Macaca mulatta: one gene and its partner. The protein of the gene in region 1 purifies or fractionates together with the protein of each later gene. This does not show direct contact. Links are inferred from orthologs where the notes say so. Each region holds a gene or a part of one and is shown in the gene's direction. Other genes may lie near its edges.

The links.
Region 2: the proteins of PPP2R2C (region 1) and CCT6A purify together in Homo sapiens (affinity purification with mass spectrometry; 4 studies listed by BioGRID and IntAct, counting the BioPlex papers as one, with this or other methods). This does not show direct contact. The link is inferred for Macaca mulatta from reciprocal best matches to the Homo sapiens genes PPP2R2C and CCT6A.

What each region holds. Positions count from the first base shown.
Region 1 is NC_133410.1:6,563,472-6,569,144, forward strand, and holds the start of PPP2R2C (protein phosphatase 2 regulatory subunit Bgamma), read left to right. Parts: upstream 1-2,305; 5' UTR 2,306-2,379; coding exon 2,380-2,449; exon of another isoform or gene 2,450-2,497; coding exon of another isoform or gene 2,498-2,525; intron 2,526-5,673. UniProt on the Homo sapiens protein: The B regulatory subunit might modulate substrate selectivity and catalytic activity, and might also direct the localization of the catalytic enzyme to a particular subcellular compartment.
Region 2 is NC_133408.1:72,119,378-72,124,893, forward strand, and holds the start of CCT6A (T-complex protein 1 subunit zeta), read left to right. Parts: upstream 1-2,246; 5' UTR 2,247-2,330; coding exon 2,331-2,467; intron 2,468-2,900; coding exon 2,901-2,964; intron 2,965-4,820; coding exon 4,821-4,955; intron 4,956-5,516. UniProt on the Homo sapiens protein: Component of the chaperonin-containing T-complex (TRiC), a molecular chaperone complex that assists the folding of actin, tubulin and other proteins upon ATP hydrolysis.

The sequences.
Region 1 (5,673 bases):
GCCAAGTGGGGCTGTTTACATTGCAGTCCAGGACATCCCGGGAGATGAGGCTGATGCCAGCATAGGGCGGGTGTTTTGGCAGGATTGACAGATGGGGAGAGGGGACCTCTCCATGATCAGAGAGGGAGACTGACGAATGTGCAGGAGGGTGGGCCTTAGCATGATAACAAGAGAGCTCACAGGAGGCCTGGCCCCTGCTGAGCAGGACTGGCCACCCAAACCCGTGGGGCCACTCCCACTCCTGCCATCACATGATGATGAGGTTGTGCCTAGGCTGCCTCGTGGTCAGGACTTGAACCCAGCTTGTCTTTCTCCCAGCGTAGCCATTTTGCTGGCCCCTGCTAGAGAGGTGAGGGGGTGTGGACAGAGAGTGGGGGGCTGGGCTTAGGATGTGAGGTGGGGGGCATATGAGCGGACAGGTGTGAGAGAGAGAGGAGAACATGCCAGGCTGGTGGGTGGGGGCCGATGTGGGTGTCATTCACTTTCCTACGGGATAGAAAGCGACAAAGAACAAGCACATCCTTCCGGCCCTTGCATTTACCTGGTCTTTGAATGGAGTCTGCACGCCTGGGAGATTTTGGCTTGTTCCACAGTGAAAAGGTGGAGGCTGTGAAGGGCAGGGCACCTGCCAAAGCAGGTGCTGGCAGGGCCCTGGGGCCTCTCCCCAGGCCAGCCCTTGCATGACACCCTGCAAAGTGCTGATAGGGCTGGTGGGGACCTTTCATCTCCTCATAGGTCCATTCTGGGGATTTCTAAGGCACGAAAGCCCAGCTGTAGCTTCAAAAACTCCCTCTCACTCTCCAAGAAACCTGAGATGGCATCACCTTCCCTTGTCTTTCCCACAGCCCCACTCTCCCTGCCCCAACACCTTTGGACTCTCCTACTTCCACTGCAGTTTGGGGAGCTGTCTGGAGTTCTCCCAAAACCATTTGAAACAAGTGGAGGCCATTACAGACCAGTCCCCACCTGGAACATGGCTCCACTAATGCCTTAGGCCCAAGAGCCCCTGCAGCTTTGGTTATCCCACTGCACTTACCCCTCCCAGGCAAGCCGCAGAGTCCCTCCCTTTCCAAGAAGGCTCTGTTGAGCTCCCAGGGAGGCCTGATGGTTCCTCACCCACACCTCTGAATCCCCCTGAGGCTTTGCCCCGTGCAGGGGACTGTGATTCATTAGGCGGTGGGTTACGGTGGAGGAGGGGCAGCTTGGCAAAACAGGAGGCAAATATTTTTTGAGGGCCCACTATGTGCCAGGCTGATGACCAGAGGGAGGTTCCTGTTTGGCAGAGTCCTGGGCTTGGAGGGGAGGGAGGGGATGGAGGAGGGGAAGCATTTTCCAGCCTGGTTTTGGATGTACCTAGCTCTGTGTTTCTTTAACTTTCTCACCTGTCAGGAGAGGCGGGCATGAGGGGATATCTCAGGGCCCTGCCTGGGGGAGGCCCACTCACTCCTCCAGCCATTTCATCCAGTTGTGCCTTGTCGGGTGCTGGACCCCCTCCACCCAGCTTCTTCACATGTACTCGGCGCTCCCAAGGGGCCCCAGAACTTGCACGACCCACCCTCTTCCACTAACGAAGGGGTCCAGTGTCCTTCCCCTCCCACGAGTACCCATTCTCCAGGTGCGCCCTCTTCAGCTGCGACCCCACTCCCTCCTTCCCAGTCCTTTCTGCCTTCTGCCTGCGAGGCTGCCCTCCTCCTGCCCCCTTCCCAGCCCCCCTGCCCTTGGCCTTCTCTCCCATAACTGGAGCACCTGGGCACCCAAGGTACCCTCCCCCCAAGCTCAGCTGATCACACTCTCCCGCAAGCCGGCGGTCTCCTTCCTCCCTCCCCCGTGGCGCACCCAGCACCAAGGTGCCTACCGCGAGGGCCCGAGCACGGCGGTGCAGCCTCAGCTTGGGCGCCGGCTCCACCTGCAGGGCCGCGGGGGCGGAGAGCGGGCGGCGCGAGGGAGGGGCCTGCGACAGCCGCGGCGGCGGCGGCGGCGGCCCTAGCCCGCGCAGCCCAGCTCGGCCCCGGCTTGGTCGGCGCAGCGCAGCGCCGCGCGCGTCCCCTTGCCGCCGTCGCCGCAACCAGGCGCACCGGCATCAGGCCCCGCCGCTGGGCGCACGGACGCAGCGCGCACGGGCCGGCCGGGATGCGCGCCTGGGCCCCGGCCCGCCCGAACCCGCGGCCGCCGCCCGCCCGCCGCGCGATCGCTTGACCGCGGCGCCCTCCCCCGGCCGCCCCCGCCCGTCCCCCTGCCGCGATGCCCTCCCTCCGGGGCCCCGGCGGCCCGCGCCCCTGCTAGGCTGCGGCGGCATGGCCCGCGCGCCCGGCGCGACCTCTGCGGATTGCATCGGTGTGTGGCGGCGGGGCATGCCCAGAGCACCGGGCACGGCCTTCAATGGGCGAGGACACGGACACGCGGAAAATTAACCACAGCTTCCTGCGGGACCACAGCTATGTGACTGAAGGTAACGTACGTGTTGTCTGAGACCCCTCCGGCCGGCCGCGGCGTGGGGATGCCGTCGCACCGAATGCCCTCCGAAGGTTTGGACCGCGCGATGTGTGTCGTGTCCCCCCGCCCCACCCCATCCCACCCCACCCCATCCCACCCTGCCCGGGGCCCAGGAGGGAGGGAGCCCGAGGGTACCGGCCTCCACTGCCCAGCGCCCGGACAGGGCAGCGCCCTCCTCCGCGCCGCCCTCCGGGAGGCAGCCGCTCTCAGGCCAGGTGGCATCCTGATTCGGCCCTGACCATAATTTTTTAAAAGGCCATGCCTGTGGCTAATCTGGTGAAGAAATCTCGGGGAAATTTAATGGTTTAAAATCCTGGATTTGCAATTTCAGCCCTGCCAGGAGCCCGCAGAATTTTCTAGGCTGTCTTCTCCCTGGAGAAGAGGGACCTAGGGGGGGAAAAACATAATCCATTGCCAGATCCTCCTGGGAGGCCCGCCTGCCCAGGCCCCTCCCTGTCCTCCAGAGGCAGGGTCCCTGAATGGGAGGGAGAAGGCGGCTAGTTTGGGGCTGGCCTTTTTATTCCTGGTGAGTTATATTGAGACAGGAGCAGCTGGGCTAACTGTCGGGATTTTCCAAAAAGTGGGACATGTCATCCCAAATAGGCCCTGTTTAAAATCCCCTAAGTTGGCCCTACAAACCCAACCCCAACCCCCACCCTACCCAGAGGCTGGTGGGTCAGCGCCCCTCTCTTACAGGCCGGGAACTTCCGGGGCCCCCTGCTCTGCCTTGCTAGGGGAACAGTGGGGACAGCTTCCGCGCGCAGGCAGGGCCCGCGGAGTGACCCCGATGGAGAATGGGGACCGGGAGGTCTGGGCGCGGGGACGCCTGTGCTGGAGCCCTGCCCGGATGCGGGGACGGTCAGCCGCTAACCCACGGGCTGCTGGCCCGGCCGCAGAAGTGTGCGCGGGTTCCCTGGGTGGGTGCCCCAGTGGGAGGGGCCCTGGGCACGGGTCCCGCGGGGCAGGTGCGCGTGGGTGCCTGTGTCAGGGAGACCGAGTGGGCCGGGCGGCGGGGACCGGGCTCCTGCGGCTGGGTCCGCCTCCTCGAAGCCTGGCTCTGCCGGAAATGAGGCCGAGCGGAGCTGGAGCCCCGCGGAGGCCCGGGGAGTGCAGCGCGGGCGCGGGCGGGCTCGGGGCGCCCTGGCCCGGGAGGCAGAGGCTGGGCGTGGGACCTGGGCAGAGGGAGGCTGCGGGGGCCGCGCCCGCTCCCGGCGGGAGAACCGCTGAGTCACGCTTCGCCGCCGGGTGTGTGCGGTAGAGGGGCACGGCTGCCCGGGCCTCCTGGCCGGTGAGGCTCCGACCCGGCCGCGGCTTTGGGAGGCCGGGGGAGCTGAGAACGGCCCTTTGTCGCCCGCCTCGGCGAGGCTGAGTCGGGATCAGCGTGGGTCCGGGATGTGCTTTCTGCTCGCAGCCTGCAGCGACAGAGGGTTGGAGGAAGCCGCCGGGTTCCTGGCCCGTGCCTCGGTGGCCTGGCTCAGGCCAAGAGCGGATCTTGGCAGGTTGCCCCGCTGCTTCCTGCTCCCAGGCTCGCTGTGGTCTGGCTTCCTGGAGCAAGCCTCTGTTTGCTCATCTCTACGTTGGGGATGATGATGGGATGGGGTGCAGGGCTTGTTGTGGGACTAGGCGTAGAAAGCGCCATGGTGGACATTTTCAAACATTAATTCCCTCTGCACCCCGTCCATCCCCTTTTCTTTCATAAATTCACCAGCTCTCAGCAGGGGACAGCAACGGGGACGGCACAGTTCTGGGAGTCAGAGCAGTGCTATCCAATCCTTCATCCAGACACCAGATATTTACCGAGCACCTGCTGCGTGCCAGGCACTGTTTTATCCCTGGGGACTGGACAAAGACTCCCTGCCCTTGTGCGGCCTGTGTTCTATCAGGGAGCTATGTGACCTTGAGGTCTGTCTTCTCACCAGGGCTCAGTCTCCCCATCTGTGAAATGGGAGTGAATCCTGCCCTCAGGGTCTGGGGGTTTCTGTGAGGAGCAGGTGCAATGGTGATGAAGGAGCCGTTCGGAGCTGTGCATTGCTAACACGCAGCCAAAGGATGCTGAGCACCTGCTGTGTGCTGGGACCTCATTCGAAGGCCCACCTATGCCTTATCCCCACCTTTAGATGAACAAACCAAGGCCTGGCCTTGTCGCTGGTCCAGACGGAGTGCCCGTGTGTGCAGGGCATAGGGCTCAGGTGCTGCGGATGCAGAGAGCAGAATCGGAACAAGAAACAATCATCATCATTATAATAGGTAGAATTTTGGCCTCCCTGATGAAAAACACACTTTCACACTGTTGCATCCTGACTGTATTTTGTGCTCAGCGCACAGGGAAGGTCACAGGTTTGAATGTCAGAATGTCAGATTTGAATCGTGTTAAAATCCTGCCTCTGACTCCTGACTGCTGTGCAGCCTTGGACAAGTTACTACACCTTCCTGAGCTTCACTTTCCCTTTGTAAAGAGAGAAATAATAACGACCTTTCATACAGGGGGTTGCTGGGATGATCAGTGATTTTGCTAATACAGAAAGTGCCCAGCACAGTGCTTGGCTTGTTGGAGGCGTTTAACACATGGCATTGTTATTATTTATATGGCTTGTAACTGGAAGAGCCTGTGGGCAAATAGTGGATGCTAAAAAGCTCAGTTTGAGAAAAAACTAGGTGCACAAACTCCTGTTCTACCAGTGGTTGCGTCTACAGTCCCCCGCCACACCCCAGCTACTCTGATCTACCTCCTGTTCCTCGAGCAGGCCATTTTCTTTCTTGCTTCAGGGCGTTTGCACCGGCTGTTCCTCCCTGGAACAGCCACCTCCTGCCTTTCTCACCACTGACTCCTTCTCATCCTTTGGGCCCCATGTCAAATGTCATCTTTGCCCACGGGAGCCCTGCTTGAGTTCCTGAGTCTCTTGTAAAATCTCAAACATCTTGGGAAGAGTTTAGGTTTTGTTAGTCCTTCACATGTTGGTGTGAATTAGTCAGAGCAGGTTGGATTTTTTTTTTGTTTGTTTGGTGGCAGGGTTAGGGGGCTTATTCTTGGCTGGGCTCCACTGCACTGAGGGTTATGGTGATCGTTAGGTGCATATGCAGGCCACCTGGGGGCACAGAGAACTTTGCATGAATAGGGTCAGGGTGTGGGGAGAGCAGAGCAGCTGATAGGGCGCTGGACCCTGGAGGTTGCTAGGACGT
Region 2 (5,516 bases), on another chromosome or scaffold:
AGGTTGGTCTTGAACTCCTGACCTCAAGTCATCTGCCCACCTCGGCCTCACGAAGTACTGGGATTACAGGTGTGAGCCACTGTTCCTGGCCTTTTTTTTTTGAGACAGAGTCTGGCTCTGTCACTCAGGCTGGAGTGCAGTGGCATGATCTTGGCTCACTGCAACCTCTGCTTCCTGAGTTCAAGCAATCCTCATGCCTCAGCCTCCCTAGTAGCTTGGATCACAGATGCACACCACCAGGCTAGGCTAATGTTTGTATTGTTACAGAGACGGGGTTTCACCATGTTGGCCTGGATGGTCTTGAACTCCTGACCTCAAGTGATCCGCCCGCCTCGGCCTCCCAAAGTGCTGGGATTACAAGCATGCGCCACCATGTCTGGCCTCCTCATAACATTTTTAACAGCAGTTATAATAAATCTGAATGCACACCATGTAATGCCTATGGAACTAATAACTCATCTTCTATTGTGCAGTGCTACTAGTCACATATATAGATGTTTTTGTGATTCTCAAATACACAAACCCACCTAAAAGCATCATATATCCAGATGTTCACTGCAGCCTGAATAGCAGATTAGGAACAAGTTAAACATTAGTCAGTAGGTGACCAGTTAGTTGTATCATTCTTTTTGAGACAGGGTCAGCTCTGTCGCCCAGGCTGAAGTGCAGTGGCAAGATCATAGCTGACTGCAACCTCCGCCTCCCAGATTCCAGCGATCCTCCCACCTCAGCCTCCCAAGTAGCTGGGACCACAGACGTGCAGCACCACACCCGGCTAATTTTTGTATATTTTGTATAGATGGAGTCTCGCTATGTTGCCTCGACTGATCTTGAACTCTCAGGCACAAGTGATGCCCCTGCCTCAGCCTCCGAAAGTGCCGGGATTACAGGCGTGAGCCACTGAGCCCTGGCCCCTAGTTGTGTCATTCTTACAAAGAACATCACGCAGCTGTTACCGAGGACTTCCTATTAGTCTTGATATAGCACAATCTCCAAGACACTTAAAGTATAACACACCCTACAGTGTGTATTATGAATTGCCATTTGTGTGAGGAAATGATTATATTCATATATAAGTTTATAAATTCAGAAAGCATTCCGAAAATTCATAGAGTATCCAGGGGTAACTTTGTCTCTAGTGTTGAACTAGAGGTGGGAGGAAGATTTAATTTCCACTACATGCCCTTTGGTGCCTTTTGAATTCAGAACAATTTCCATTATTTATTAAAAATAAAATATCAGCCGGGCGCGGCAGCTCACGCCTGTAATCCCAACACTTTGGAAGGCCGAGGCGGGAGGATCACTTGAACTCAGGAGGATCACTTGAACTCTGAAGTTTGAGACCACCCTGGGCAACATAGTGAGACCCTATGTCTACAAAAATAATATAAATAAAGTAAAATATCACGTGTTACGGAATCCCTGGTATTTGGCGGGACACTGGATACTGGAAACAATTGTGGAGCTCTTTGGAAATTTACCTTAATAGGGAGTCCTCTCAAAGGCAGGAATGACTCTACAAGGGTGAGTTTTCAAATGTGCCATGGGGGCCTCGGGCCTCAGCAGCATCCAGAGCCCTACGGACGGGCAGGTTCTTACGTCTCAACTCCCATCGCACCAGTTCTGCAGCTTTCTAAAGGTATCCAGCACTTTCTACCTTGCATTCTATCTTCATCTTCGCTAGGCCTCACAGCACCGCATGATCCCGGGGCAGGGTGCTTATCAGACTCGCGTGTGTCTCCAAGCCACCTAGGGCACCGTCAAGCACAGGGTCCAGAAAGCTCCAATGAAAGAGATAAAAGCGCGAACCCGGGGGGCGGAGCTTGCAGTCAGCCGAGATCGCGCCACCGCACTGTAGCCAGGGCGACAGAGCGAGACTCCGTCTCAAAAAAAGAAAGAAAGGCATAAAATCAGCAAAGAAAGGAGACTGAGGAGCAAACCGCGAGAGTAGAGGCGGGAGGAGGCCCACCCTACGCCCTGCCCCCGCGAAGCACAAGCCCCGCCTGCGTCCTGGGCTCCCGGGTCCACAAAGCTGGGCCCCGCTGAGCTGCGACACCGGAACCAAGGAGCACGGTCGGCCGGGAATAGGCTCCTCCCGTGCGCAATGACGCCGCGGCCGCCGCGCGAGGGGTGGGACCGTAGGCGCCGTGCAGCCACGGACCAATGGGCGGGCGCCGGACGACCTGTGGTCCAATGGCGGAGGCGCGCGGGCACGCTGGGGGCGGGCCGGACGCGCCGACTTTTCCAGAAGACCCGGATAGTTCCTCCTGGCCACGCCGCGCCGGCTCTGGGTTCTCAGCCTCGTTTCCTTTTCCTCCGCTGGAGCAGCGATGGCGGCGGTGAAAACCCTGAACCCCAAGGCCGAGGTGGCCCGAGCGCAGGCGGCCCTGGCGGTCAACATCAGCGCGGCGCGGGGTCTGCAGGACGTGCTAAGGACCAACCTGGGGCCCAAGGGCACCATGAAGATGTGAGGCGGGGCTGAAGGGAGGGCCGGGTGGGCACCGCGCGCCGCCACGCACCTGGCTGGTCCGGGACCACGGGCTGGAGCCCGCCGCCTCGGGGCTCCGCAGCCGCCCTTCTCCGCGTCCTTCGGGGTCGGTCCTGTTCTCTGCTAAGCCCCACCGTCCCAGCCATTTCTTCCAGCGTTCATGCCGTCTCTGGGGAGAACAAAGCGTCTCTAGAGCGCGGCGTTCCCCTCCCTTTGGGGCTTCCAGGCACTCTGAGGACTCGGCACAATCTCTGCGGGGACGGGGTGGGCACTACACCTGTTCCTCCAGCCTGCGGGAGATAACTAGCCACATATCCCTGGCTCCGTAAGATCTGGGAAGAGCCCGTTTTCTAATGGGACTTTTAGTTATCGTTGAAAAGTCACTTCTGATTCATTTCTGTCCCTTAAACAGGCTCGTTTCTGGCGCTGGAGACATCAAACTTACTAAAGACGGCAATGTGCTGCTTCACGAAATGGTGAGAGGTGCTCTGCTCTAGGTCAGAAAGGTCTTGATTTTCCGTAGATTGTTTGCTTTGTGGAAAGATTTGCAGTGTCCGTTTTCAAGGCAGGAGAACATTTAGAAGTGGCATGTAATCAGTAATAGTACAGTGCCTGGAGTCTGACAGCTCTGCCTTTGAATTCCTGCTTTTTTGCTATTCACAGTCTGGGCTAAAGGACTGTAATTGTATATTAAAGTTAATTATTATAAAATTTGAAAAATTGAGAGGTTGACACAATCACATGGGCAAAATGCATGAGGATGATTTTTCTTTTTTTCTTTTTTTTTTTTTTAGTTTTTATTAGACGAAGTGTTGCTGTGTCGCACAGTGGCACAATCTTGGCCCACTGCAACCTCCACCTCCCGGATTCAAGCGATTCTTCTGTCTTAGCCGCCCAAGTAGCGAGGATTGCAGGCTCGGGCCACCACTCCCAGTTAATTTTTGTATTTTTAGTAGAGAGAGGATTTCACTGTGTTGGCCAGGCTGGTCTTGAACTCCTGACTTCAGGTGATCCGCCCGCCAAAAGTGCTGGGATTACTAGGCGTGAGCCACCGCACGCAGCCGGTTTTTCTCTTTTTAAAACAGCAATTTCTCCGTTAGGTCTCATCTGCATCTCCAAGTGGAGGGGATTGAAATCTGTCTCTTTGCAAGTCTTAGGGATGGAGAATATGAGATTATTGGGGGGAGTATGCGTTTTACTCATCCCCTGAATTCCCAAAACTTAGCAGTTCAAGAACAGGAAATGATTTCCTGCTGATTTGAGTTCAGAATAATACTTAGGGTTTTACTAGTAGCGTACCAAGCTATCAACATCCAAATGAAATATCTTTAGTAAGGACTTGGTAACCTAGGAGGTGTAGTGTTTGTTTTTAGTGGGCTCAATGGTGGCCCGTGTTGGAAAAGTGGAGCATAGTTAAACTTGATGTCGGAATTGTTTGGGGGCTGGGTGTGGTGGCTCATGCTTGTAATCCCAGCACTTTGGAAGGCTGAGGTAGGTGGCTCATTTGAGGCCAGGAGTTCACGACCAGCCCTGGCCAACGTGGTAAAACTCTGTCTCTACAAAAAATACAAAAATTAGCCGGACGTGGTCCTGCACGCCTGTTGTCTCAGCTACTCCAGAGGCGGAGGCAGGAGAATCGATTGCTTGAACCTGGGAGGCTGAGGTGTCATTGAGCCGAGTTTGTGCCACTGCACTCCAATGTAGGTGACAGAGACTGTCTCCAAAACAAAACAAAAAATTATTTGGGTTTTAGTGTGTGAGAAATACAGCATAAGTAGAGAGAAGCACGTTGAACATTTACAATTTAAGAAAAAATTATAAAATGGACACACACAACCACCACTGTAGCTAAGAAATAAATTGTTGCTACCACCTCAGAAGTCTCCTCCCACTGGAATCTCTCTCCAATCTCCAGAAGTCTTTCAGTTTTCTTTGAAAAAATTACAAACCTACAAAAATAATTACGATGTGTGTGCCCTTTAGGAGATACCTGACTTATTCTCACTAGAGCCATACACTTGCCATAAAGAGGCAAGGATGTAAAATTATGTTTTACTGTTAACTGGTAGCTCTGTCATTTTGAGTAAACTTTTACTTAGCCTCAAGCTTCCTCATCTGTAAAGTAGAGATAACCTGGGAAATAAATTACACATGAAAACGTTTCAATCATAATTGCATGTGCGTGATAGCTAATCGAAGTAATTTGTAGCCAAACACTTGGGTAGCTTTTTCAAGTAGATAGCACTTAAAGAGGCCCTTCCTACATTTTGTTTGTGTTATATTTAGACTGCTTCATGTTGTTTTAAGTGATTCATTCTTTTTCTACTTTCAGCAAATTCAACATCCAACAGCTTCCTTAATAGCAAAGGTAGCAACAGCCCAGGATGATATAACTGGTGATGGTACGACTTCCAATGTCCTAATCATTGGAGAACTACTGAAACAGGCGGATCTCTACATTTCTGAAGTATGCACAACTCTTGTTTCTGTAATATTTTATTGTATATAGGAAGTGTCTGATACTTATTTATACAAATTGATGTGCTGTTAATAGCTGAGGCCATACAGTAGAACTAGGGGGCTTAAATCTGGGTCTTTGTCCTGGTCTAAAACAAATTGTGACCTTGGACAGGTTATGGAACCTTTCTTGGCCTGAAAATAATTTTGTAATGAAGTTGCATTGCCTATGTGATTTGTATCTGTCCTTAGTGTAGATTAATAATTTAGATCTAAAAGTGGAATGTTTAGGACTAGGAATATTTGTTAGGAAAAAAGCATCCAAAAGCTTATATTTGGATAAATTCCACTTTTTTAAGCCCTGACTAGTTCCAAGGTTAAAACAAACCTCAGTGAGTATGAATCTGTTGTCAGAATTTCCTGGAAAAAGAGAGCAGTCTTTATTAAATAATTAGTAAATGATGTGAATTAGTTTGAGATTACCTATAGAAAAGAGAATAGTCCAAGCGTGGTCGCTCACACCCGTAATCCCAGCACTTTGAGAGGCCGAGGTGAGCGGATCACCTGAGGT